6 linked regions of the Macaca fascicularis genome follow. The protein of the gene in region 1 purifies or fractionates together with the protein of each later gene. This does not show direct contact. Links are inferred from orthologs where the notes say so. Each region holds a gene or a part of one and is shown in the gene's direction. Other genes may lie near its edges.

Region 1 (4,117 bases):
ATTTTTGAGCCTTTGGGTATAATGAGGCTGTGCTGATAAACAAAACCCTCCTTCTCTTTGAGGATTTACAGGAGGCAGTTTTCTCTGGAAAGGGAGGCTAGGTCCATCTGCCTTCAAAACATGGAGCCCTTATCTTTTCCTGGTTCAAAGATCTCTCTTAGGAGATGAGTGAGAATTGAAAGCACTCACTTATAGGCCTTCCTTAGTATTTATCTTATCCATACCACTGTCCCCCTAAGAAGTCCCTAACATTTTTTTTTTTTTTTTTTGCCCACTGATCCTTTATGCTTCCCATAGGATTTTTTAAAAAATGATCCCAAACTCCTTACCGTATCAGAGCTTATGTGATCTGGCCCTGTCTGCCTTTCCAGCCTGGTCTCTTCCCACCTTTTTGTTGCCCAGCCTCTAACCTCTTCGCTATACCCTTGGTTTGGTATATCCTGCCTTCACCTCTTCCATGGCTGACTCCTCATCCTTTAAAATTTAGCCTCCTGACCCTTTGTGTCTTTCACATCCTGAACTCTCTGAAATTACCTTTTTTATTTTTTGCCATCTTCCTGCCTGTCTTCTCCCACTAAGCTGAGAGCATCAGATGGGCTGTGGAATCCCCAGCATCTGGCACAGGGCCTGGTGTACAATGGGTGCCCAAATCTTTATTGAATCATGCGTGTACCTGCCCTCTGTCCTGAGTGAATCACTTGCCTGTGCAAGTTTATTTCAGGGGTCCACCTGCTACCCAGCCTTCAGGTTAAACTCCTTGGTTTGGCATTCGAGGGCTCTCATCCTGGCTCCCTGGCCTTGGGCTAGCCACACTTCTGTGTGTCAGCACCATAGTGTTTCTTTCTTAGTTTCCTCTTTCTAATGCAGAGCCTGCCCACTTGTGTTTAGTCAACATTTATAAAGCACATGTGATGTGCCAGCCATTGGGCATATAGTGGTGAGCAATGTGACACATTCTCTGCCTTCCTGGCATGGTGGAAGAGATTGCCATTAAAACATCACCAGACCAATGCATGATTACAGACTGTCATAAGTGACATGAAGGGAAAGCCCAGCATGCTATGATCATTTAGTGAACGGCTCTGTGCGGTCTGAGAAGGCTTCCTGAGGCTTCAGAGATCCTTTTAAATGCCACTTTTCTTAAGAAAACCTTTTGCAGTCTTCAATGTGTGTGAGCGAACGCTACTTAAAACCCTCCTTTTGCACTCCAGGCTTTGCCCAGGATGGTCCCTTCTGGAATGTCTATTCCCTCCTTCCCTCCCTGAAGTTCTTTGTCAGGGACAAAGGTAGGATCCCTCCCCTTCCGTCTTCTCCACTGGATGCCTGTGTCGTATTCATCTGTGACCACCAGGTACTACCACAGAGCTGGAGCTAAGGAAGGTTTGTTGAGCTAAACTTCTAACACTTGCATTCTTCTTACACTCTGTCTGAAAGCTATTTGTGTGTTCTTCACAGATACTTGATTCTGTACGCGGGAGTTATATCTTTCAAAGGGGTTAGATTCTAAACATGAAAGTCCTCAGCAGTCAGATTTATCAAACTCTTAGAAACCCCTTACTTTACTCACTCAAAGTACACCACAGGCACCACTCCCTCTGGCTTTAGATCTCTTTCTTGGGTTGAGTGTCAGAAAGTAGTGGTTGGAATTGTATCACAGGTGTATTGAATCAGCTTAGCCAAAAATGAAAGAAGACAAGTCCGTAGTGCAGGTTGCCATTCTCAAACATGATCCTGGTGAGTCAGCATCCATGGGAGACAAGAAACTGCTTCCTCTGCAGGACACACGGGCATTCCTTCTGGGGTGGATATGCTGAGAGATTCTTGCCTGTAAAGATCTTCCCCTTTCATGGGGGAAATCAAACTACTCATCCAAGGGATTTTTTGGTCTTGCTCACTTAATGGTGATAACCATTCTGTCTTCCTGCTTTCTGCTGGGACTGGGTGACAGAGCAGGAGTAGCGTCATCTCGGACAAACACTGGCACTTTAAGTTCCAGCTCCCTTTCTAGCCTCATGCATTTCAAGGAAATCACTTCTAACTACAAGCAGCCAGGAAGAGCAGACAGTAAAACACAGATAAGACACCTCAGTCATAGAGGGAGGTGGGGGAAAGTCTCTTGGGTAACTGCCAAACTTCACCCTCATACAGTGGACCCCAGTAAAACTGTGGGCCTTAATAAGAACATTCCTTTCCCTTCAGGTGCACTAAGATAGGGAAGCTAAAAGCAGTCCTGGGGGGGATATGCCTGCAGCTGCAGAAAGATGTGTGGAAACAGACATACAACTCTGCCTCCCAGATGAGCACAATAAAGAGACACAGAAGCAGTCCAAGCCTCTGATAAACTCTCTCACCCTGAATCCTTAAAAACTCTTAGTCTGTAAGAGAATGTGGCTCTGACCTAACTCAGCCAGCAGCCCACCTCAGGTTTGTTTAAAATAAACCTGTCCCTGTTGACTGAAAAGCCACCGTTCGTGTTTCTCTCCTCTTTCTTTAATTCTTACACTAGGGTCTTCATGCCGTAATCCAGAGTTGTTTCTCCATTCACTTTTTTCAACAAATATTGAACACCCACTTTGTCATTGGCACTATTCTGGGCTTTCAGGATACTGCAATGAACAGAATAGACAAAAATCGCTGCCTCTGAGGAGCTGACATTCCAGTGGGGGCATCAAGTGGTAAACATACATAGTATGTTGGGTGAAGAAAAGCACTTTGGGGAAAGATAAAAAAGCAGGATAAGGGAGATGGGCAGTGGTCAGGGACGGTGGCATGTGAGCAGGAAGTGAAAGCCGGGAGAAATCGCTGTGAGGGTACCTGAGGGAAGGGAAAGTGCTCCTGGAGGACAGAATACCCTGTGCAAAAGCCAGAGGTAGGCATGTGCTCAGCATGTTCAAGTAAAAGAGGTCAGCATGGCTGGAGTGGAGGGAATGATGGTGGGAGATGGGGTCCAAGAGGTGAGAGATGCAGCTCTTTCTGGATATATTTGAAGATCGAGCCATTCTAATATGCTGATGGAGATGTGAGAGAAAGACGGGTTGGGGTGGCTCTACCAAAAGTAAAACTAAACAGCTGAGGGTGGAAGGTGTTTTGGTATCCGACTGCTCAGTCAGTTCTGTTCTCAGCCCCACCCTGAAGTCCTGTTCACAGAGTAACCCCTCGGGCCTCCAGTTCCCCACTCTGACCAAGGTTCTGGGGTGGGGACTGAATTGATTCTGGGGGACCTCCTCCTTGTGCACTTTGGGTTCAGCTTTCTTCACTGGTTAAGTCAGAGAGCACTCGACCATCAGCTCTCCCATTTCCAAGATATTATTGACATCTCTGAGCCTGTGATTGTCTCTTTTCCTGGCCACGTACCCTTTAAAACTTACTGTTGAGTGGGATTCTAGCTAACAGCAGAAACACATTTCACCTCCCCAACCATGTGAGGTAGGTCAGTGAAGCTGGTGGTAAGGCCTGATTTCTGAGGCCCAGAGGGTACCTGAACTCACACAGTGGGAAGTGCTTAAGTCCAGCTTTGAACTCCAGTTCTCAGACTCTCTGTGATATTGAAGCCACTGTGAGCCAGAAGGTTTAACATAGTTATCCACCTCCTTCAGAACATGCATATTCAACTGCTTTTAAAGCTTATCTTAGAAATAAAAACACAAGCACTTTTAATTTTATTTTTCTGGAGAAATTGCTGAGAAATGTCATAAGAACTACTTGTCTAGCTGATTGTCCCACTGGTTGGCATCTTATGACTAGTCTGACCAGTTCTTTCTTTCACACTTAGATTTGTTAGGAATAGGTAAGCCTTGTCCTTGCATCGGTTCTTGAATTGAGTTTTAAATGTTCCAGAAAGCAGAGGCCCTCCAGGACAGGCATGCAATGGACAGTTTGCAGGAGACACACTCTGGATCTTTCAGACCAGAGTTCCTGTTCTGCCTTCATTTACTGCATGTCTTTTGGTCCGTTTCTCAGCTCCTGTGGTTTCTGTAAAATGGAGATAAAGTAATACCCACCAGTGAACTCACAGATATAATAAAACACATTGCATGGGACAAAAATGTATAAAAGATGCAGCTATTACTGTTCTACCTTCAATCCAGTGTGACTGTGCTGCAAGGGAAAATGTCCA
Region 2 (3,975 bases), on another chromosome or scaffold:
TAGGTAAACTTCCTCTCCTCCCTGTCTCCTTGACATGTTCCTTTTCTATCTCATTCATTTTTTTTTTTTTTTAAGACGGAGTTTTGCTCTTGTCGCCCAGGATGGAATGCAATGGTGCAATTTCGGCTCACATGCAACCTCCACCTCCCAGGTTAAAGCAATTCTCCTGCCTTAGCCTCCCAAAGAGCTAAGATTACAGGTGTGCGCCCTGTAATTCTGTATTTTTAGTAGAGACCCCTGCTAATTTTGCATTTTTAGTAGAAACAGAGTTTCACTAGATTGGCCAGGCTGGTCTCGAACTCTTGACCTCAGGTGATCCACCCGCCTCGGCCTCCCAAAGTGCTGGGATTACAGGCGTGAACCACCGCGCCCGGCCTCATTCATTTATTCATAAAAAAAAAAATTGATTGCATACCAACTCCCTCACTGTGTGACCTTGGATAAATTAATTTCTCTGTACTTTAGTTTTCTTATCTGTAGAACGGGGATAATAATAATACCTTCCCCACAGTATCACTGTGAGTGTAAGTTTACAGTGACATGATATATAATGAGAATTAAATGAGTTAATTCATATAAAGCTCTTAGAGCCTGGAACAAAGTTCAGCACTGTTTGAGTACTAGGTGTTATAACAGTGACGTTGCTGCACCCTTCACTGCTACTGTGTTCCAGTTAACCTCTCCTACAGCCATTTATTGCTTAGGTAATTCGTGTTGGTGGCCAAGACAGGTCTGGGAAGAAGAGAGATGAATCAGACTGCCCACTGCACTTTGTCCAGCTACACCTGGCACATACAGAAGGTCCTCTAAATGTTTGCTGAATGGATAAGCGAATGTCTTCCAATTGAACTCCAAGTTCTTTGAAGGCAGGGACTACATTCCTAGCTGTCATAACCCTAGAACAATGCACCTGGTGAGGCACACTGTAGGCGCTGAGGGATTATACATGGATAAATGACTGCAGGTGGAAAACCACTAAGGCTACAAAGCGAGCATTGATAAGGTGCTGCAGAGAGACCGCTCCCAGTTTCAGGAAGGCGGTTAGTCTTGGAAGCGTGGCTGCCCAACGGCGCGAGGGCTGCTGGGAAAGGCAGACTCGCCTGGCTCTCCCGGGGATTCCGGGAGAGTGCCGCGGGCTGCGTCAGCCCCACGCCCCGCCCCCTCCGCCGGCTCACGTGACCGTCTCTGGGCAGCGCAAACCATGGCCGGCTTGGTGGACTTCCAGGATGAGGAGCAGGTTAAGTCCTTTTTGGAGAACATGGAGGTGGAGTGCAACTACCACTGCTACCACGAGAAGGACCCGGACGGTGAGCGCCTCCAGCGCAGCCCGGCGACGCGTCGGGGAGAGGCGTGCCGGGAGAGGTCTGGTCTGCGACCTCTGAGAGGCTGGAGAAGGAATCACGTGGCTGGCGGGGGACGGGGGTCTGTGGATCGCGGTGACTGCGTGTGTTGGGAAGGGCGATGTGTCCCGGGAAGACCGAGCCTGGAGGCCGGGGCGGGTAGGAAGAGACGTGCTTTTGGATTAGGGACTGGGGATCTATCGGTGAACAGATGAAATTCGCTGCCCTCGTGGAGCTTCCAAGCTAGTGCGGGGAGTCGGGCAATAAGCCTCAGGTAATTCATGAAATCGTGTTCGAAAGCAGTAAGTACCTGCCGGGCGCGGTGGTTCACGCCTGTAATCCCAGCACTTTGGGAGGCCGAGGCGGGTGGATCACGAGGTCAGGAGACGAGACCATCCTGGCTAACACGGTGAAACCCTGTCTCTACTAAAAATACAAAAAATTAGCCAGGCGTGGTGGCAGGCGCCTGTAGTCCCAGCTACTCGGGAGGCTGAGGCAGGAGAATGGCGTGAACCCGGAAGGTGGAGCTTGCAGTGAGCGGAGATCGCGCCACTGCACTCCAGCCTGGGCGACAGAGCGAGACTCTGTCTCAATAAATAAATAAATAAATAAATAAATAAATAAATAAATAAAATAGTAAGTGCCGTGGAAAAAGGACTGGGTGAAGGGTATCAGGAGGGCAGAAGGGCAGTTTTAAATTGAGTGATCAGGGAAGATCACTGAGAAAGTGGCAATTGAATAAAGGCTTGAAGAAGGTAAGGGAGTGAACCATGCAGATCTTACCGTAGGTAACAGCTGGCAAAGAGGCCCTGAGGCACAAATGTGTCCCGTGTGTTGTGTGAACACTGAATTGACTTGAGAGTATAGGTGGATGGTGATGACCAGAGGGGTCCACCCAGAGCAGCCAATAGCTTTCGGTGGTTTTCTTCTTCCTGCTTTATTTTTATTTTTTATATTTTCTTTCTTTTTTGAGATAGTATCTCACTATGTTGTCCAGGCTGGTCGCAACTCCTGGGCTCAAGTGATCCTCCCGTTTTTTTTTTTGTTTTGTTTTTTCGAGACTGAGTCTCACGCTGTCACCCAGGTTGGAGTACAGTGCCTCCATCTCAGCTCACTGCAACCTCTGCCTCCTAGGTTAAAGCAATTCTCCTGCCTCAGCCGCCTGAGTAGCTGGAATTACAGGCTCCCACCACCACGCCCAGCTAATTTTTGTATTTTAGTAGAGACAGGGTTTCACCATGTTAGCCAGGCTGGTCTCAAACTCCTGACCTCAAGCAATCCATGTTCCTTGGCCTCCCAAAGTGCTGGGATTACAGGTGTGAGCCACTGTGCCCAGGCTTTTTTTTTTTTTTTCTTTCAAATAAAGGTCTGGTGTGGCACAAGCCCGTCATCCCAGTTCTCTGGGAGGCTGAGGTGAGGCAGGAGGATCGCATGAGGCCAGGATTTCAAGACCAGCCTGGGCAACATGGTGAAACCCTGTCTCTACTAAAAAAAAAAAAAAAAAAAAAAAAGAAAGAAAAAAGTGACACTGGCCCTACCTTCTAATAGCTTGCAGTTTAGTTTGCAGAAATGACATAGCTATTCCTTGAAGCTAATCCATAACATAGACCATAACGTAACCATATACATATCATAACATAGTCATGAAACAGAGTTGCTCTGCAGTATGATGGCTTAAAAAGAACCTGGGGGCCGGGCGCGGTGGCTCACGCCTGTAATCCCAGCACTTTGGGAGGCCGAGACCGGTGGATCACAAGGTCAGGAGATCGAGACCATCCTGGCTAACACTGTGAAACCCCGTCTCTACTAAAAATAAAAAAAACTAGCCGGGCGTGGTGGCGGTGCCTGTAGTCCCAGCTACTCAAGAGGCTGAGGCAGGAGAATGGCGTGAACCCGGGAGGCAGAGCTTGCAGTGAGCTGAGATCCGGCCACTGCACTCCAGCCTGGGCGACAGAGCAAGACTCCGTCTCAAAAAAAAAAAAAAAAAAAAAAGAACCTGGGGTTGAGCCGAGCACGGTGGCTCATGCCTGTAATCCCAGCACTTTGGGAGGCCGAGGTGGGCAGATCACTTGAGGTCAGGAGTTCAAGACCAGCCTGACCAATATGATGAAACTCTGTCTCTACTAAAAATATAATAATTAGCCAGATGTGGTGGCATGTGCCTGTAATCCTGGCTACTGGGTAGGCTGAGACAGGAGAACTGCTTGAACCCGGGAGGCGGAGGTTGCAGTGAGCCGAGATCACAGCATTGCACTCCGGCCTGGGCAACAAGAGCAAAATAACGTCTCAAAAAAAAACAAAAACAAAAACAAAAAAAGAACCCGGCGTTGTTCTTTGAGAGCTGGTCCATGTCCTAAGTGTAGAAAGAACTTAGAGGAATTGGGGTCACTAAGGAACAGGGTGGTTAGGGAAGACTTTGAAGGGAGGTCTGGAGGGCTGGGCAAGTGTTGATTAAATGGAGGAGAGGGTGGGAGAAGAAAGTGCTGTCTTTTGGAAGGTTGAAGTCAGGATGTAGTACATTTGAAGCGGGAGTCTGGGCCACAGTATGTCGGGGCTTGAATGCCAGAGTAAGGAATATAGACTTTGCTCTGTAGGCAATGGAGAGCAAAACATGTCAGACAAGCAAGTTATTGGA
Region 3 (4,014 bases), on another chromosome or scaffold:
AGCATCTTCCCCCTACCCTCATAATAAACTCCCAATCCCCGCAGCTGCTGACTAAGTCTTGGTGGGTCCCTGCCCGTGCCTGGATCTCCCCTCCCACCTTACAACCCTCCCTAGCGTCCCACTGGCCTTTTTGTTCCTGCAAAATGCCAAGACCCTGCCACCTTGGGCTTGGTCTCGAAGGCGCTCCTCAGCTGATTCCTCATCCTTCAGATAGGAGGAGGTCTCAAGGAGGCCTTCCAGATTTACCACACCCTTGCATGGACCCACCAGTTTGTACGTGAACATTTATGAGTGTGAGTCCTTGTTTTTTTTTCCTATCTTGACCACTGAATTATGAACAGAGGAGGTCAGGGAACAGAGCTGTGTTCCCTGCTCCGCCCAGCACCTGGAACAGCGCTTGGAACAGAGCAGTCACTGCACAAATAATAGCGGAATGGATAAATGAACGCAAGGAGGCAGAGGAATCGCAGAGGCCGCTCCAACTGGGAGCCCGACCCCTCCCCCCAGGTTCTAGGGTCCGCGGCAGCTGGCGGGGGGCGCCGGGGAGCCCAAGGCACGCGCCAGCCCTCTGCGGCCGCGCCCCGCCCTGCGTTGCCAGGCGCCCGTTGCCATGGCGCCAGGGCGGTGACACCAGCCCAGAACCCTAGCGCGCGCCGCAATCTGTGCGGTCACGCCCGCCCCGCGTTGAGAAGGCGCTGGGCAGCCAGCCGGTGGGACGCGCCCCTCAGCGGAGGGCACAGAGCCTGGCCGCAGGCACGCAGGACACTCAGAGCGGAGCGATGGGGGCGTCGCGGGCCGCAACACGGACTTTGCCTGAGTGTCAGCCCAGGTCCACAGCGCGCCCGCGGCGCACCTTCCGCTGCGCACCTTCCGCCACACACTGCTCTTCTACTGGAGGAAGCGAGAGCGCCGCCACGGACGGCGCAACCACGGCGTGCGCCGCGGATCGAGGCCCCGGGGTGCCAGCAGGCTCCGGCCCTCCAGCTCCGTCCCTGCCCCTGGCCCCGGGCCCGGCCCCGCCCCGGTCCGCCCCGCGGCCTCTGGCTCCGCCTCCACACGGGCCCGCGCGCCGGCCCCCGCCCCCAACTCCGCCCCAAGCCCCAGCTCGGGCCCGGCCCCCGCGAGCACGGCGCGCGCCTCCGGCTACTGTAGCTGAGCGCTGGCCTGGAAGCTGACCTGGAGGCTCATCTGGAGGCCGAGCTGGCCCGGCAGGCCTTGCGCGGGCAACATGGCGGCGCCCGGCGAGCGGGGCAGCTTCCACGGCCGGAATCTCTTCTTCCTGCCGGGAGGCGCGCGCTCCGAGGTGATGGACGACCTGGCGACCGACGCGCGGGGCCGCGGCGCGGGGCGGAGAGACGCGGCCACCTCGGCCCCGACGCCAGCCCAGGCGCCGACCTCCGAGTCTCCTGTCGCCGTGGACGCCTCCCGGAGGCGGCCGTGCCGGGCCTGCGTGGACTTCAAGACGTGGATGCGGACGCAGCAGAAGGTGCAGATCCCTGCCCGACTTCTCCCAGCCCCGCGCAGCCCCTGCCCCTGCCCCCGCCCAGGTGCCCCGGCAGAGCTCCCCGGGGTTGCCTGTCCCTGAACCTTGCCCCCGGGTAAGCCCGGCCTTACAGCCTTCATCCGCGCGTGGGTTGGATCGTCTGCAGGGCTTTGGCCGGAGTCCAGTGGGCCACCGGCTGGGCCGTAGAAGGGGGAGCTTTGGGCGCTTCTGTTCGGAGAATGAACTCACTCTTGGTTGGCCTGCTTCCGCAGCGGGACACCAAGTTTAGGGAGGACTGCCCGCCGGATCGCGAGGAACTGGGCCGCCACAGCTGGGCTGTTCTCCACACCCTGGCCGCCTACTACCCCGACCTGCCCACCCCAGAACAGCAGCAAGACATGGCCCACTTCATACATTTATTTTCTAAGTTTTACCCCTGTGAGGAGTGTGCTGAAGACCTAAGGGAAAGGTAAGATGTGTTTGCACGCAGCAGAGCTTTGCACTGCAGCCTGGGCCTGGGGCTCCTGGCTGACGTAATAGCGGGGAACATAGAGAAACGGATGCAGAGGTGGCAGAAGTTTGCTGAGGAGCAGGGGCCTCCAACAGGTGAGGCCTGGGGCCATCTGAGCCTCCTCGTCTTGTCTCAAAAGCCAAACTGTTGGGATCTGCTGCTGAATACTGCTCCTGCCACAGCCACAGGACTCCAGGAAGGGCTTCCCTGCCTTGTCTGGCACTGAAGACGGCTCCCCCCAAGTTAGGGAGGGCTCCACTTTGCCTGACTTCTAGAGCAGGACTGCTGGTTTTAAAATCTTGGAAATCCACTGCTTTTGCCCCCAAGAGCCACCTCTTCCTCACTGAGGCATCCAAGAGCCAGCACTGGCCCTTGCGGGTGTTTCTAGACCAGATGTCTAGGGCAGAGTTGCCATTGTTGCTGTAAGCCTGGGCAGTTAGAATTAAGTCTCTTGCTGAACTGAGGCACCAGGGCCTCCCTCAGGTGCTAAGAAACAAGTCCAGTTTTCAGTTACAAGGCTGTGCCCAGCCCCACCCAGGCCACACTCTGCCTGAGGCCAGAGACGCTGGATGCCGCTTCCTGGGTGTTAGAAGCTTATAAATTTGCCAGGTCTGTGCTGTGATGTCTTGCCTTGAGGCCTCGTTGGAGTTTGCCAAGCTCTCCAGGTGGGTGTTTGAGCAACCCTGGGAGTTCATCACACCCGGGAGCTGCAGGGTCAGCCCTGTTCTGGGAATTCCTGTCCCTTGGAGCATAAGGGCACTCCCAGGTGTAGCTCACAGCAGTGCCCCAGTTGTCTTTCCTTGGGAGCAGACAGGGAACTGGCAGGGGCAGTGGAGCCGCTGCGTCCTCCCATTCTTTACATGCTCTCCCTATGCAGGCTGTGCAGGAACCAGCCAGACACCCGCACTCGGGCAGGCTTCACGCAGTGGCTGTGCCACCTGCACAATGAAGTGAACCGCAAGCTGGGCAAGCCTGACTTCGACTGCTCAAAAGTGGATGAGCGCTGGCGCGACGGCTGGAAGGATGGCTCCTGTGACTAGAGGGTGGTCAGCCAGAGCCCATGGGACAGCGAGCCAGGCGCCTATGGAGTGGCCTGGTTGGACAGGGGCAGGGCACTCATTAAAGTGCATCAGAGCCAGAGCCTGTTGTGTCTCAGTTGGGTGGTCCCCAGGACACTGCCCGTGGGGACCTGCCCTGCCCCTGTTAGGTTTGGAGCAGAAGTGGAGGTGCACACAGCAGGCACCCACTGGCCTCCTCCTCAGTGGAGGCCCCAAGGAGCTGCAGCTGAACTGCAGGTGAGGGAGGCAGGAGCAGCCTGGGCTGCCCCTTGGCATTCAGGATGTGGCTTCCTGCCCACCGCATACCCTGGTGCCTCGCTCCTCACACAGGAAGACAGCAGGCCTGGCTGGGCGTCCCTGTGCCTGTTCCTGGAGGCCAGGCCTTTGCCTTCCCACTATGCAGCCAGGCATGCCCCTGCCCCCCGTGGCTCTGTGCTGCTCACTTTAGGGGGCTCAGTTCTCCACTCCGCTCAGTCCCTACAGGGAAAGCTCAGGCAGGGTCTTTCTGAGGGTCCACCAGCCATCCTGCCCTCTCCCTGCCTGGCACATGCCTGCCAGCGTTGTGCCATGCCTGTCCACAGGGGATTCGTGGGGCCCGCTTCCTCAGAGTTTGAAGCCCAAATGAAACGTTGAAGTGACTGAGGACCTGGCTTCAGTGTGTTTTCTGCTGGGGCTTATATCAGTGGGCAGGGCTTGTTCCATCCCTGTGTGCCCAGCTGCATTTCCTGCTGGGGTCCTCGTTCCTCAGGAGGAGAGAGATCCCTACATGAGAATGAGCTGGGAACAGCAAGGATGCTGATTGGTTGGGGCGGGGAGGCCAGAGTAGCTGATGCAGGGGCCCCAGGAGTACAGGGTGGCCAGACGGCACGAGGTCTCCAAGGCCCCAGCAGAGCCATGGCTTCTACTCCCAGCTCCCCTGACAGGAAGTTCCTGGTGGGTTTGGAGCCAGGGGATGGCATGGA
Region 4 (4,246 bases), on another chromosome or scaffold:
GAATGGATAAATGAATTGTGGCATGCTCATACAATCAAACACTAGACAGCAATAAAACAGAAGGAATAACAGATGCACACAACAATATGGAGGAAACCTTACAGGTACATTGAGCTAAAGACGTCAGGCACAAAATAGAAAATAATGTGTAATTCCATTTACATGAAGTTCAAGAACAAGGAAAACGAATTGATGGTGATAGAGGTCAGAATAGTGGTTAACTTCAAGAGGGAGTATTGATGGGGAAGAAACACAAGATAACTTTTTGGGGTGCAGGAAGTATTTTATATCTTGATCTGGGTGGTGGTTATACAAATGTATATATACACATATATATTTAATTAAGCTTGAGATTCGTGTATTTTATGCACTTTATGAATATTATACCTCAATCTTTAAAAATCAGGGCACAAGGTTTGACAAAGATGAGTCTTCAAAGCAGAAAGGTCGATTGTTTAAAATCAGGATGGTCTTGGACAATTAGGGAAGCATATGATGACCACACATATAAAATGTCTAGCCCACCTTTTCCAATGAGCAATGTGCCCTTGCGTCATCAATTTACATCTTGTAAATTTATTTTACTAGGAAATTGTGTGACAAATCAAGGGACTGAGTGTTGTTTCCTTCTTTTTAGTGGGGAATGAGTGAATGGTGCAGTTTGAAGAACACATTAAGTCTTGAAAGTTGAAAAGTTCACCAGTACCCTCCTTCTCCCTCACCCATGATTAGCCTCGGTGGCAGCCGAAATTGCTTTTATTAATCTCTTTGTGGCTCAGGACCTCTGACTGTTGAAGAAAACATATTTTACACGTCTTGTCTTTCTACGAGCAGGAAGCCTATCTCGCTTATCGTTGCAACACCAGAAGGGGCTTAGTGTGACCTACACACAGTAGTAATCGCACAACGTCCCATGGAGCACTGCTTCTCAAATTTGGCTGTACATACGAATCACCTGGGGAATTTTAAATTGTATTGATGCCTGGGTCCTACTCCCAGAGATTCTGATTTAATTGAAATGAGGTGAGTCCTGGGCACTGGGACGTTTAAAAACGTTCCAGGGATTTTAACGCGAAACAAAAACAGAATCGCTGTTTGGGGGCGTTCTTCCTTCTCCACGCCTGATTTACGCTCAGGAGTCGGCTGTCCGGAACTGGGATGAGATTCACTGATATCTGTCACCACGCCTCTTCCTACAGAACCAATAAACTGAAGCGGCTCTGTGACATCCCAAGGGACTTGAATTGTAAGCGGGCTGCAGACGCTCTGCACCCCGCCCAAGCCTCTATGGTACTTTGGCGTCCCCTCTAGCACTGGCAAGTCGCCTTCCTCTTCGCCCGGCGCCGGCCGCTCCCTCTCTAGGATCGCCGAGTTCCCGGCGCCGTCTCGTTGGTATTTAGTTCCGGAAGCGAGTTTGAATCAAAGGAGAGGCGGGACTTCCCTCCCGGAAGTAACCCACGTGCTTCCGCTGGAGCCTTCTGGAGAGGCGGGTAACGTTATAGTTTTTGTCAGAAGTTGGGGTCTCCGTGAGCATTGCGATCCGTCCCAGGCAGTGGTGAGTGACCCATGACCTCTGAATTCAATGTGGCTCTGATTATGGCGTCGCCATTTCAGAGGCGCAGCCTTTAGGCTGCGTCCCGGTCGCCTGTGTTCAGCGTACGATCTCATTCCCAGGGCCCTGGAGGTTCAGGCTTATGGGTTAGAGCGTTCTGCCTCGGTCCTCGATCTTCTGAATAGAGGTGACCTCCAGGGACTGGGGCATCAGAGATCCGGGGCTCGATTTCCAGGCTCGCCATGGACGTCCTGTGCGACCTTGGGCGAGGCCTCAGTTTCCACATCCGTGAAATGGGGTGGTTAATCTTACTGAGGTTAGTGGCCCGTGGTGGTCTGGCGCCCTGTGAGTCCTCTGTATCCTCTAGCCCCAAGGGGTAGGAGAGTGAACGGCGGCGGTGGGTGCTGATGGTGATGTCTGCTCCCAGGATTAGGAGGCCAGAAGGAGATACCTTCCACGGTGCTAGGCTGAGATGGATCCTCTCAGGGCCCAACAGCTGGCTGCGGAGCTGGAGGTGGAGATGATGGCCGATATGTACAACAGGTAAAGAGAACTATGTTCTACCCTGTCTTGGAAAATAAGTCTTGGTCACCCATATCGAAGGTGAATGACTTACAACAAATTCCTTCCTGAATGTAGGGGAGCCTGAGGCCCATGCTTACCCTCCCCATACGCACCTCCAAGGTTGATCCTAATGTAGACGCAGTCACTAGAATGAGTTGGGCATTTAGATGGGGATGGAACTGGCAATGCAGGAGCCAAGCAGGAAGAGAAACTCCAATCCAGGCTCTGGTTAGGTTCCAAGAAAAGCTGAGTATTTGCCTCTTGATAAATAGCACATAGCCAGCCCATTTAGTAGTTAACATTTTAAAACCCTTTATTCTGTGTCAGGCTCTTGTTAATCTTCAAAATAATCCAGTGGGTTAATTTTATTAGTCCCATCTTAAAATGAGGAAATTGATGCTGCTAGAGGTTAAGTAACTTCCTTAGGGTCCGCAGCTGGTGGGTAACAATGCCAGAACTAGCACCTCAGTCTGGTTCTGCAACTAGTGCTCATAACCATTTGGCACATTTGGGAACAAATCCTGGCTCCACCAATCACCAGCAGTATACTTGGACATGTTACTTGCACTGTTTGACAATTGGTTTCCTCATTATGAAAAAGACATAATGATACCTACCTCATAGGGCATCATAAATATTAAATCTAAAAATATATGAAAGTCCTTAGCCTCAAGCCCAACACTTAGTAACAGTGAAATGTCTGCTATTTTTATTGGCTTAAGCTCTCTTGATTGGTTTATCCTGACGACTATAAATTAGAAAGATTGTTAAGTGTAGACTGTGAGGTCAGATGACCTGGGTTCATATCTCAGCTCTATGTGATTCTTAGAAAATTACTGAGCCTCGGCCGGGCGCGGTGGCTCAAGCCTGTAATCCCAGCACTTTGGGAGGCCGAGGCGGGTGGATCACGAGGTCAGGAGATCGAGACCATCCTGGCTAACACGGTGAAACCCCGTCTCTACTAAAAATACAAAAAGAAATTAGCTGGGCGTGGTGGCGGGCGCCTGTAGTCCCAGCTACTTGGGAGGCTGAGGCAGGAGAATGGCGTGAACCCGGGAGGCGGAGCTTGCAGTGAGCCGAGATCGCGCCACTGCACTCCAGTCTGGGCGACAGAGCGAGACTCCGTCTCAAAAAAAAAAAAAAAAAAAAAAATTACTGAGCCTCTGTTTGCCTTAATTTTCTCGTCTGTAAAATGGGGATAAGTATCTCTTGGGGTAATTGTAAGCATTGCGTAACAGAATGCAGGTAAAGCACTTAGCATGATGCCTGGCACATAGCCAGTCCTTAACAAATTGTTTCTACTTAATTAGTCATATACATGGGCTCAGGCAAGTTTCCTACTTGCAAGGACCTTCCAGTGGTTGAGGTGTAAACTGAGGATTTACACTGCTTTCTTGGGGAAGGTGACATCAATATAGCAGGGCTGGAATGGTCGAGGGTTCCTGGGATGTCACAGGATGCTGCTGACATGACCTTGCCCCTCCCTCCCTCCAGAATGACCAGTGCCTGCCACCGGAAGTGTGTACCTCCTCACTACAAGGAAGCAGAGCTCTCCAAGGGCGAGTCTGTGTGCCTGGACCGATGTGTCTCTAAGTACTTGGACATCCATGAGCGAATGGGCAAAAAGTTGACAGAGTTGTCTATGCAGGATGAAGAGCTGATGAAGAGGGTGCAGCAGAGCTCTGGGCCCGCGTGAGGTCCGTGTCAGCATACACCCTGGGGTACACCCCACCCCTTCCCACTTTAATAAAAGTGCTCCCTGTTGGGTGTCATCTGTGAGGACTGCCAGGCCTAAGCTCTCTGTAGCGAGTCTTCAAGATCCTGGAGTGGTAGCGCTGTCCCCTGGTGAAGGAGTATTTGTCACACTGGAATGTGACTGTGTGTATGTATGTATGTATGTATATATATATTAAAACAAGTTTGTTGACACCTACTATGTGCAAAGCAGTGTGCGTGGCATTTGAGAGTAAACAGACACAGCCCCTACCAGCAGAGGGAGACTAATGTAGTGTTTAAGAGTAGGACAGGCCAGGCACAGTGGCTCACGCCTGTAATCCCAGCACTTTGGGAGGCTGAAGTGGGTGGATCACTTGAGGTCAGGAGTTCAAGACCACCTGGCCAACATGGCAA
Region 5 (3,500 bases), on another chromosome or scaffold:
ATTATTTTATTAAGAAAATTTTCAGCTTTCTTCTTTAAAGTTCTTTCTCTTTTACCTAATGTTTACAAAGATTGATACTGATTTTAAAAGTCACTTGCCTTGAATCTAAGAAAATGGTATTTATATCTGTCATTTCTTTTTTTCTAAGTAGAAATGACTGGACAACCCCAAAATGCATCTTTTGGCAAGAGGAGCTGCTGGTGGCTACTTCCTCTGATAGCTGCTCTTGCCTCTGGGAGTCTTTGGTTCTTTAGTACTCCTGAGGTAGAAACCACTGCTGTTCAAGAGTTCCAGAACCAGATGAATCAACTTAAGAATAAGTATCAAGGTCAAGATGAGAAGCTGTGGAAAAGGAGCCAAATATTCCTGGAAAAACATCTTAATAGCTCCCATCCTCGGTCTCAGCCTGCTATCTTGCTGCTCACTGCTGCCCGAGATGCTGAAGAAGCGCTTAGGTGTCTGAGTGAACAAATTGCTGATGCCTATTCTTCTTTTCGTAGTGTCCGTGCCATCCGGATTGATGGGACAGATAAAGCTACTCAAGACAGTGATACTGTCAAACTAGAGGTAGACCAAGAACTGAGCAATGGATTTAAGAACGGCCAGAATGCAGCTGTGGTACACCGCTTTGAGTCATTGCCCGCAGGCTCTACTTTGATCTTCTACAAATATTGTGACCATGAAAACGCAGCCTTCAAAGATGTAGCCCTAGTCCTGACTGTCTTATTGGAGGAAGAGACACTTGGAACCAGTCTAGGCCTAAAGGAAGTTGAAGAAAAAGTAAGAGATTTCCTTAAAGTCAAGTTCACCAATTCTAACACACCCAACTCCTACAATCATATGGACCCAGACAAACTGAATGGCCTCTGGAGCCGCATTTCTCACTTAGTTCTGCCTGTGCAACCTGAAAATGCCTTGAAAAGGGGCATCTGCTTATAAGAAGTGAGAGAAGAAAAATCATGTCCCAAGTTCTGAGAATTGTTCACATTTTCTAACCAGAGACAGAATTCAGAGCTCTTTTTGAAAGAACTGGTTTCTTTTTAAAGGAAATTAAGTTCTTACATAAACACAGAACATAAAAATCATTTGTCAACCTAATTATCTAGGATATGAGAGAATCATTTCAGTTTCCATTGAGAGCTGTGTTAAAGGTATCTTAGGAGTGCAGATTATATGCAGTTCCTTAGAGAATCTATTTTGATTCTGGGCTGAATTATTACAGTTATGTATGACCAGTGAAAGGGATTTGTCTCCTTATGAACCTTCCTGATTTTTTAACTTAGATTTCTCACTAAGTTTCTTGAGTTATTAGTAAGATTGCTCCCTAAATGTAACCATGGATTTTCCCATTATGTTCCCTTTTATACCATGTAGGTGTGAGTTCCTTAGCTTCTGCCTATAGGAACATAAGTTATGAAAGGTCACGTAGGTGTGTGTTTGGAATTTTTTTTTCTTTTGTTTGTTGGAAGGTGGAAAGAACAAGGCAAGGAAGAAATTAATGGGGAAGCTGAAGGGAGGAAATGTTATAGTAATCCACTGAGGTGTAGGTCAAACATAGGTATATGAACTGTTAATCTTAGTGGATTCCATTGGGATTTGTTTTTTATATCTCCTTTTTCCTTCCTTGAAGAAAAATTCTTGGCCCTCCCAAGGATTCTTCATGTATATTGCAAGATTTAATACATTTGTTCACTTGACTCTTAAGAGTAGGTCAGGTTGGCCGGGCGCGGTGGCTCACGCCTGTAATCCCAGCACTTTGGGAGGCCGAGGCGGGCGGATCACAAGGTCAGGAGATCGAGACCACGGTGAAACCCCGTCTCTACTAAAAATACAAAAAATTAGCCGGGTGCGGTTGTGGGCGCCTGTAGTCCCAGCTACTCGGGAGGCTGAGGCAGGAGAATGGCGTGAACCCAGGAGGCGGAGCTTGCAGTGAGCCGAGATCGCACCACTGCACTCCAGCCTGGGCGACAGAGAGAGACTCCGTCTCAAAAAAAAAAAAAAAAAGAGTAGGTCAGGCCGAGGCAGGTGGATCACCTGAGGTCAGGAGTTCGAGACCAGTCTGGTCAACATGGTGAAACCCTGTCTCTACTAAAAATACAAGAATTAGCCGGGCATGGTGGCACATGCCTGTAATCCCAGCTACTTGGGAGGCTGAGGCAGGAGAATTCGCTTGAACCCGGGAGGCAAAGGTTGCAGTAAGCCGAGACCAGGCTTATTGCCCTCCAGCCTGGGCAACAAAAACAAAACTCTGTCTCAAAAAGAAAAAAAAAAAAAGACTAGGTCAATTCGTAACAGTTTATTTTGGACACATCCTGAAGCTTTTGTTTTGAATTAAGAAATAGTTTCAGGAATTGACAAACCATTTGTCAACCTGCTGTCCTGGGCTATTGAAGAAGATTTCGTTTTCTGTGCATCCAGTTGTTGCAGTCCAGGTCCTCTAGTACAACACCATAGCAAATATAAAGATTTACTATGCACGTGATACATTTTATGGAGTGCCTCAAGCCAAGATAGTGAACTTACATGAAGAGTGTGAAATGTATTTCTTTACTACTATAGTAGTATAGTTATAACTTTGCATCTATAATTGAGCTTTCTCATCTGTCAACTGCTATGGTTTTCTTAAAATGTTACAATTCTATATCTATCCACCTTGTTTTTTTATTGTCCACAAACCATTAAATGTAAATATTGTTTTTAGAGAGAGTCAGTCATTGGCTTTGTCATTTACCCTTTGAGAGTTCCACAAGTGGTAGTAGAGTGGTCTAACTTCTTTCCTCTAGTACTACCAGTATTCATAAATGTATGCCCCTTACTATAATTTGTTCCTCTTAGAAGTCAGATCATCTGATTTATAGAGGATTATGAAAACCAGAGTTTTTGAAAAGGCTTATTTTATACATACATATTATATAGAGAAATAACTTTTTATTAAATGTTTCACTGACCCAAGTAATTTAAAAGTAATATGTTACCTGTGTCTTTCAGGAAAAATAATTATAGCAGCTGATCTGTAAATGACTTTAAAAGCTATTTTAGTAATTTAAATAAATTTACTTTCTTGGTTTGTACTCTGTGTTATATATTTAATGATTTATCATATTTAAAAAAAGAAATCCAAGTCTTTTCCTTGAACAATTTTAGCAACCTTGGCTAGGAGAAACAAAAACCAAAGAATTGGAGCCATTTGCAAGTACATTGGTTAGAAGTGAGATAGCCATAACTTTCCATTTTATCTCGGCACTTAGGGTTTGTAAAAATATAGTTAATTTAGGTATTCCTGACTTGGCAAAAGAATCTCCACAGCAGCTTTTCTTTCTTTTTTTTTTTTTAAGTAGACATGGGATCTCGCTATATTGCCCAGGCTGTTTTTGAACTCTTGGCCTCAAGCAGTCCTCCTGCCTAAGCCTCCTAAGTAGCTAGGATTACAGGTGTGAGTCACAACCCCTGGCTTCTTAACCTTTTCTTCATCACCTCCCTAAAGAGCTTTTTTAGATTTT
Region 6 (3,420 bases), on another chromosome or scaffold:
CTGGACCCAGGGGAGCAACCAGTAGGAGCGAGAGCACGGCCATCAGGACAGACTACTCACAAGACCTGGCTGAGCTGATGGAACTGCTCCAGAGCCTGGCGACACCAGCACTGTTGCTTGTCACTGCTGCACCCTGCGCACAGCGGGCTCTGCAGGAGCCGGTAGTACCGGCGACGGGCATACCGGCTGTCCAGCTCCCCCTCCAGTTCCGGGTCTGTGCCCCCTTCCCCCTTCCTCTTACTCTGCATATAGACTCTCAAGAAGCACCCATACAGACGCTGGATCATCTCTTGGAAGGTTCTGGGGGTACTAAAGAACAAGACTCCGCGCAACATAGTGTGGACTTTTTCTCGCAGCCCCTGAGCACCAGTGCCCATCAGCAAGCCCAGGCGAGTCCATTTCTCCAGCAGCTCTAGGCTACGCAGGTAGGGATCCAGGCGGCTCTCCAGCAGGCCAAAAGCGTCAAGGAGCAGCAGAAGGCACTGGGGCTCATCCGTAGAGTTCTCGCATTGGGAGATGGCATTCCAGAACTCAGGGGAGATGTTGGCCTGCAGATCGTTCTGCAGCACCTCTACGAACCACTCCTCCAGGACCGAGTGCAGGCCGTGGCCCCTCAGAACCTCCACCGCCGCCCGGAGCTCCTCTTCCTTTGGCGGGACTGCACCGCTGGTCCGGGAAGACACCTGGAGCGCAGAAAACCGTGAAGCGAGGGGAACACAACATAGAGGTGGGGAGAGGCGGGGAAGGGAAGAAGCTGAGGGGTAGGCTGCAAAAACTCCGCTGCCCCCTGTCCGTGGTGTCCGGACGTTGGGCCGAAACTAGGGAAGGGCTGCCAGCGGAGCTGAACGAAATGAAGTGGAATGGCGGTGGAAAGCGGCAGGACAGGGCAGAGGCGGATGACGGACAGAGCTGTATGAACCCGAAGGTGGCCGCCCCAAAGTGCATAGGGTCCCGGAAACTCCGCGCGGGGCCGCCGCTCTCTTCCCAGGCCTCACCAGCCCCAGCGCAGCTGGCGGCACCAGGCCGGTGCTCACGGTATTCCAGGCCACTAACAACTCCTGTCCGGGCCGGGAGTCGCTGTCCCCCTCCGCCACCACAACTGCCGCCGCCATCTGCAGCCACCGGCTCCGAGATCCCCTCGGCACGGCGCAAAGCGATGACGCAAGTCTGCACGCGCAGCCATGACGCGCACAAGGCGCTCAGCGATGACGCGTAGTTCGGCGCGCCGTCAGGGAGTCGTGCGCAGGCGCGGACAGCGCTGGTTCCGCGTCGGTTGGGGTGGCGGGGCCCCGGGCGGCGTAGACCATGACCCAGCAGGGCGCGGCGCTGCAGAACTACAACAACGAGCTGGTCAAGTGTGAGCGGCGCAGCCGGGACGGGGAGGTCGGGAGGGCCGCAGGGCCGGGTTCCCGGCTCGCAGCGGGGTGCCCCTGGACCCGCCTAGTTGCGGGCATCGCGCAGCTGAGCAGAGCCCTCCGTGCCGGGGGCTGGGTGTCCGTGGCCCCGAGCCCTCGTTGGCTCGCAGGCCCCGCGCCGGGTGCTCGGGGGTGGTGCCTGACTCTGGCTTCCTCGGGTGGAAGGAGGCCCGCCCTCCGCCGCCGCGCTCCTGCCCTGGGCCCACAGCCCCGCCCCTCCTGGCCCCCCAGGCATAGAGGAGCTGTGCCAGAAGCGGGAAGAGCTGTGCCGGCAGATCCAGGAGGAGGAGGACGAGAAGCAGCGGCTGCAGAATGAGGTGAGGCAGCTGACGGAGAAGCTGGCCCGCGTCAACGAGAACCTGGCACGCAAGATTGCCTCTCGCAACGAGTTCGACCGGACCATCGCGGAGACGGAGGCCGCCTACCTCAAGGTGGAGCTCGGGAGGCCAGGCGGAGCATCAGGGGATAGCCGCGGCAGGGGTGTAGCCGCGGCAGGGCGTCAGGACCGTCTGGGGCTCCCAGCTGTGGGCAGTCTGTGCCTCGCTGACATGTCGGGCAGGAGCAGCGTGGCCAGGCCCATTGAGGAACCCAGGCTGCTGCGGGAGTGACCGTGGGGCTGTCTGGGGGACCTGGGGCATCCTGGGTCCTGGTCTTCATCCGGTTCTCGCTAGCCATGTGGTTCTTTCTGCTTAGAGTGTGAAGAGCCACGTCTTGGGCCAGTGCTAACCCAGCCTGGCTTTGAGGGTGGGGAGGAAGTGTTCTGGGTCAGATTCAGGAGGGAAGAGGGCCCTGTTACCCCGTCTGCCAGTCCCCTTGGGCTTCCGCCTTCCCCCGCACAGGATCCCTTGGCTACAGCACCCACAGCCAGGTCCCAGAACCTGAGTGTGAGGACAGCTGGGGCTTAGGAACTTCCCAGCAGGTGAACAGTAACAACTTCCTCACTTCTCTGGCCCCAGATTCTGGAGAGCTCCCAGACTTTGCTCAGCGTCCTCAAGAGGGAAGCTGGGAACCTGACCAAGGCTACAGCCTCAGACCAGAAAAGTAGCGGTGGCAGGGACAGCTGACCAGACCACGGGCAGGGCCTGCCTCTGTGCGCCCCTCACCTCAGCCCCGACAAGTCTGTCCTCAGAGCGTCTTTGTTCTTCACAGCAGCAGCTGCCTTCCCTCACTGTCCCCGGTGCCGAGAGGGGCGGCTGCCAGCCTCTACTGGCATCATTGACAAGCCAGGGCACAGCCCACCCAGGGGCTTTGTGCTCACACGGGCTGTGGGGATGGTGGGTTCCAGGTCAGCTCTGCAAAGGGCCTGTCTCTGTGGCACCCACACTCCTGCCCTGCTGGGGAGGCCCTGGTTGTCTGTGCACCATGGGGGCCCCCTCAGCTTGTCCCTCCTCAGCCAGCAGAGGCCCAGGGCAGGGGACAGGGGTTCTCCTTCACCCCAGAACCCAAACCTCAGGGCTCACCCCTGTGGCCTGTGATTATCAATAAAGATTATCTTTGTAAAGGTCCGTGCCAGCCTGCTGCTTGCCCGTGTCAACAGTGTGGGGCTGCCAGACACCTGCAGAGCCAGAGCCTGAGGCTCCCCCTTGGGAAAGGAGGGAGGAGGCGTCTGGAGTGGTCTCCCTATGACTGCCCAACTAGCCTCAGGGACACCGCTGAGGGTGCCCACCCCGCCCAGGCCAGCGCCACCCTCGGCCCTCCCCAGCAGGGCCGCTGGTCCTCTTCCCCTGACTGGCCCACAGCTCACCCTCCTCTCAGCTCTGCTCGCTCGTCCTGTTCTCTGCCACACCCTGGTGTCCAGCATAGGACCCAGCCCAGAGAGACAGCTAGGGATGCCAAGCATATCCAGCAGCTGCCTCAGACTCAGGTCTCTCTCAGCAAGGACTGGGGGGGCTTCACACCCCCTACCCCCACCAGTTCCTCCTTGCAAGTCCTGCTTGGCCTGATGACACCACTGCTGCCACCAGGCCCTGCTGCCCCTTTCCCTGGCCGCACGCCAAGCACTGGC

The links.
Region 2: the proteins of CHCHD4 (region 1) and COA7 purify together in Homo sapiens (co-immunoprecipitation; 3 studies listed by BioGRID and IntAct, with this or other methods). This does not show direct contact. The link is inferred for Macaca fascicularis from reciprocal best matches to the Homo sapiens genes CHCHD4 and COA7.
Region 3: the proteins of CHCHD4 (region 1) and GFER purify together in Homo sapiens (co-immunoprecipitation; 3 studies listed by BioGRID and IntAct, with this or other methods). This does not show direct contact. The link is inferred for Macaca fascicularis from reciprocal best matches to the Homo sapiens genes CHCHD4 and GFER.
Region 4: the proteins of CHCHD4 (region 1) and TIMM10 purify together in Homo sapiens (co-immunoprecipitation; 4 studies listed by BioGRID and IntAct, with this or other methods). This does not show direct contact. The link is inferred for Macaca fascicularis from reciprocal best matches to the Homo sapiens genes CHCHD4 and TIMM10.
Region 5: the proteins of CHCHD4 (region 1) and TOR1AIP1 purify together in Homo sapiens (co-immunoprecipitation; 3 studies listed by BioGRID and IntAct, with this or other methods). This does not show direct contact. The link is inferred for Macaca fascicularis from reciprocal best matches to the Homo sapiens genes CHCHD4 and TOR1AIP1.
Region 6: the proteins of CHCHD4 (region 1) and SSNA1 purify together in Homo sapiens (co-immunoprecipitation; 3 studies listed by BioGRID and IntAct, with this or other methods). This does not show direct contact. The link is inferred for Macaca fascicularis from reciprocal best matches to the Homo sapiens genes CHCHD4 and SSNA1.

The regions. Positions count from the first base shown.
Region 1 is NC_088376.1:152,384,210-152,388,326, reverse strand, and holds the start of CHCHD4 (mitochondrial intermembrane space import and assembly protein 40), read left to right. Parts: upstream 1-1,317; 5' UTR 1,318-1,319; coding exon 1,320-1,380; intron 1,381-4,117.
Region 2 is NC_088375.1:182,019,716-182,023,690, forward strand, and holds the start of COA7 (cytochrome c oxidase assembly factor 7), read left to right. Parts: upstream 1-1,175; 5' UTR 1,176-1,201; coding exon 1,202-1,307; intron 1,308-3,975. UniProt on the Homo sapiens protein: Required for assembly of mitochondrial respiratory chain complex I and complex IV.
Region 3 is NC_088394.1:2,744,625-2,748,638, forward strand, and holds the start of GFER (FAD-linked sulfhydryl oxidase ALR), read left to right. Parts: upstream 1-1,214; 5' UTR 1,215-1,228; coding exon 1,229-1,486; exon of another isoform or gene 1,487-1,535; intron 1,536-1,755; coding exon 1,756-1,952; intron 1,953-2,603; coding exon of another isoform or gene 2,604-2,616; exon of another isoform or gene 2,617-2,659; intron 2,660-2,871; coding exon 2,872-3,034; 3' UTR 3,035-4,014.
Region 4 is NC_088388.1:16,082,153-16,086,398, forward strand, and holds TIMM10 (mitochondrial import inner membrane translocase subunit Tim10), read left to right. Parts: upstream 1-1,446; 5' UTR 1,447-1,555; intron 1,556-1,919; 5' UTR 1,920-2,024; coding exon 2,025-2,095; intron 2,096-3,610; coding exon 3,611-3,812; 3' UTR 3,813-4,049; downstream 4,050-4,246.
Region 5 is NC_088375.1:37,408,432-37,411,931, forward strand, and holds the end of TOR1AIP1 (torsin-1A-interacting protein 1), read left to right. Parts: intron 1-148; coding exon 149-939; 3' UTR 940-3,071; downstream 3,072-3,500. UniProt on the Homo sapiens protein: Required for nuclear membrane integrity. Induces TOR1A and TOR1B ATPase activity and is required for their location on the nuclear membrane. Binds to A- and B-type lamins. Possible role in membrane attachment and assembly of the nuclear lamina.
Region 6 is NC_088389.1:2,127,392-2,130,811, reverse strand, and holds SSNA1 (microtubule nucleation factor SSNA1), read left to right. Parts: upstream 1-1,232; 5' UTR 1,233-1,305; coding exon 1,306-1,357; intron 1,358-1,646; coding exon 1,647-1,846; intron 1,847-2,371; coding exon 2,372-2,479; 3' UTR 2,480-2,920; downstream 2,921-3,420. Other genes in the region: ANAPC2 (anaphase-promoting complex subunit 2), read right to left, coding at 61-683, 996-1,112. UniProt on the Homo sapiens protein: Microtubule-binding protein which stabilizes dynamic microtubules by slowing growth and shrinkage at both plus and minus ends and serves as a sensor of microtubule damage, protecting microtubules from the microtubule-severing enzyme SPAST.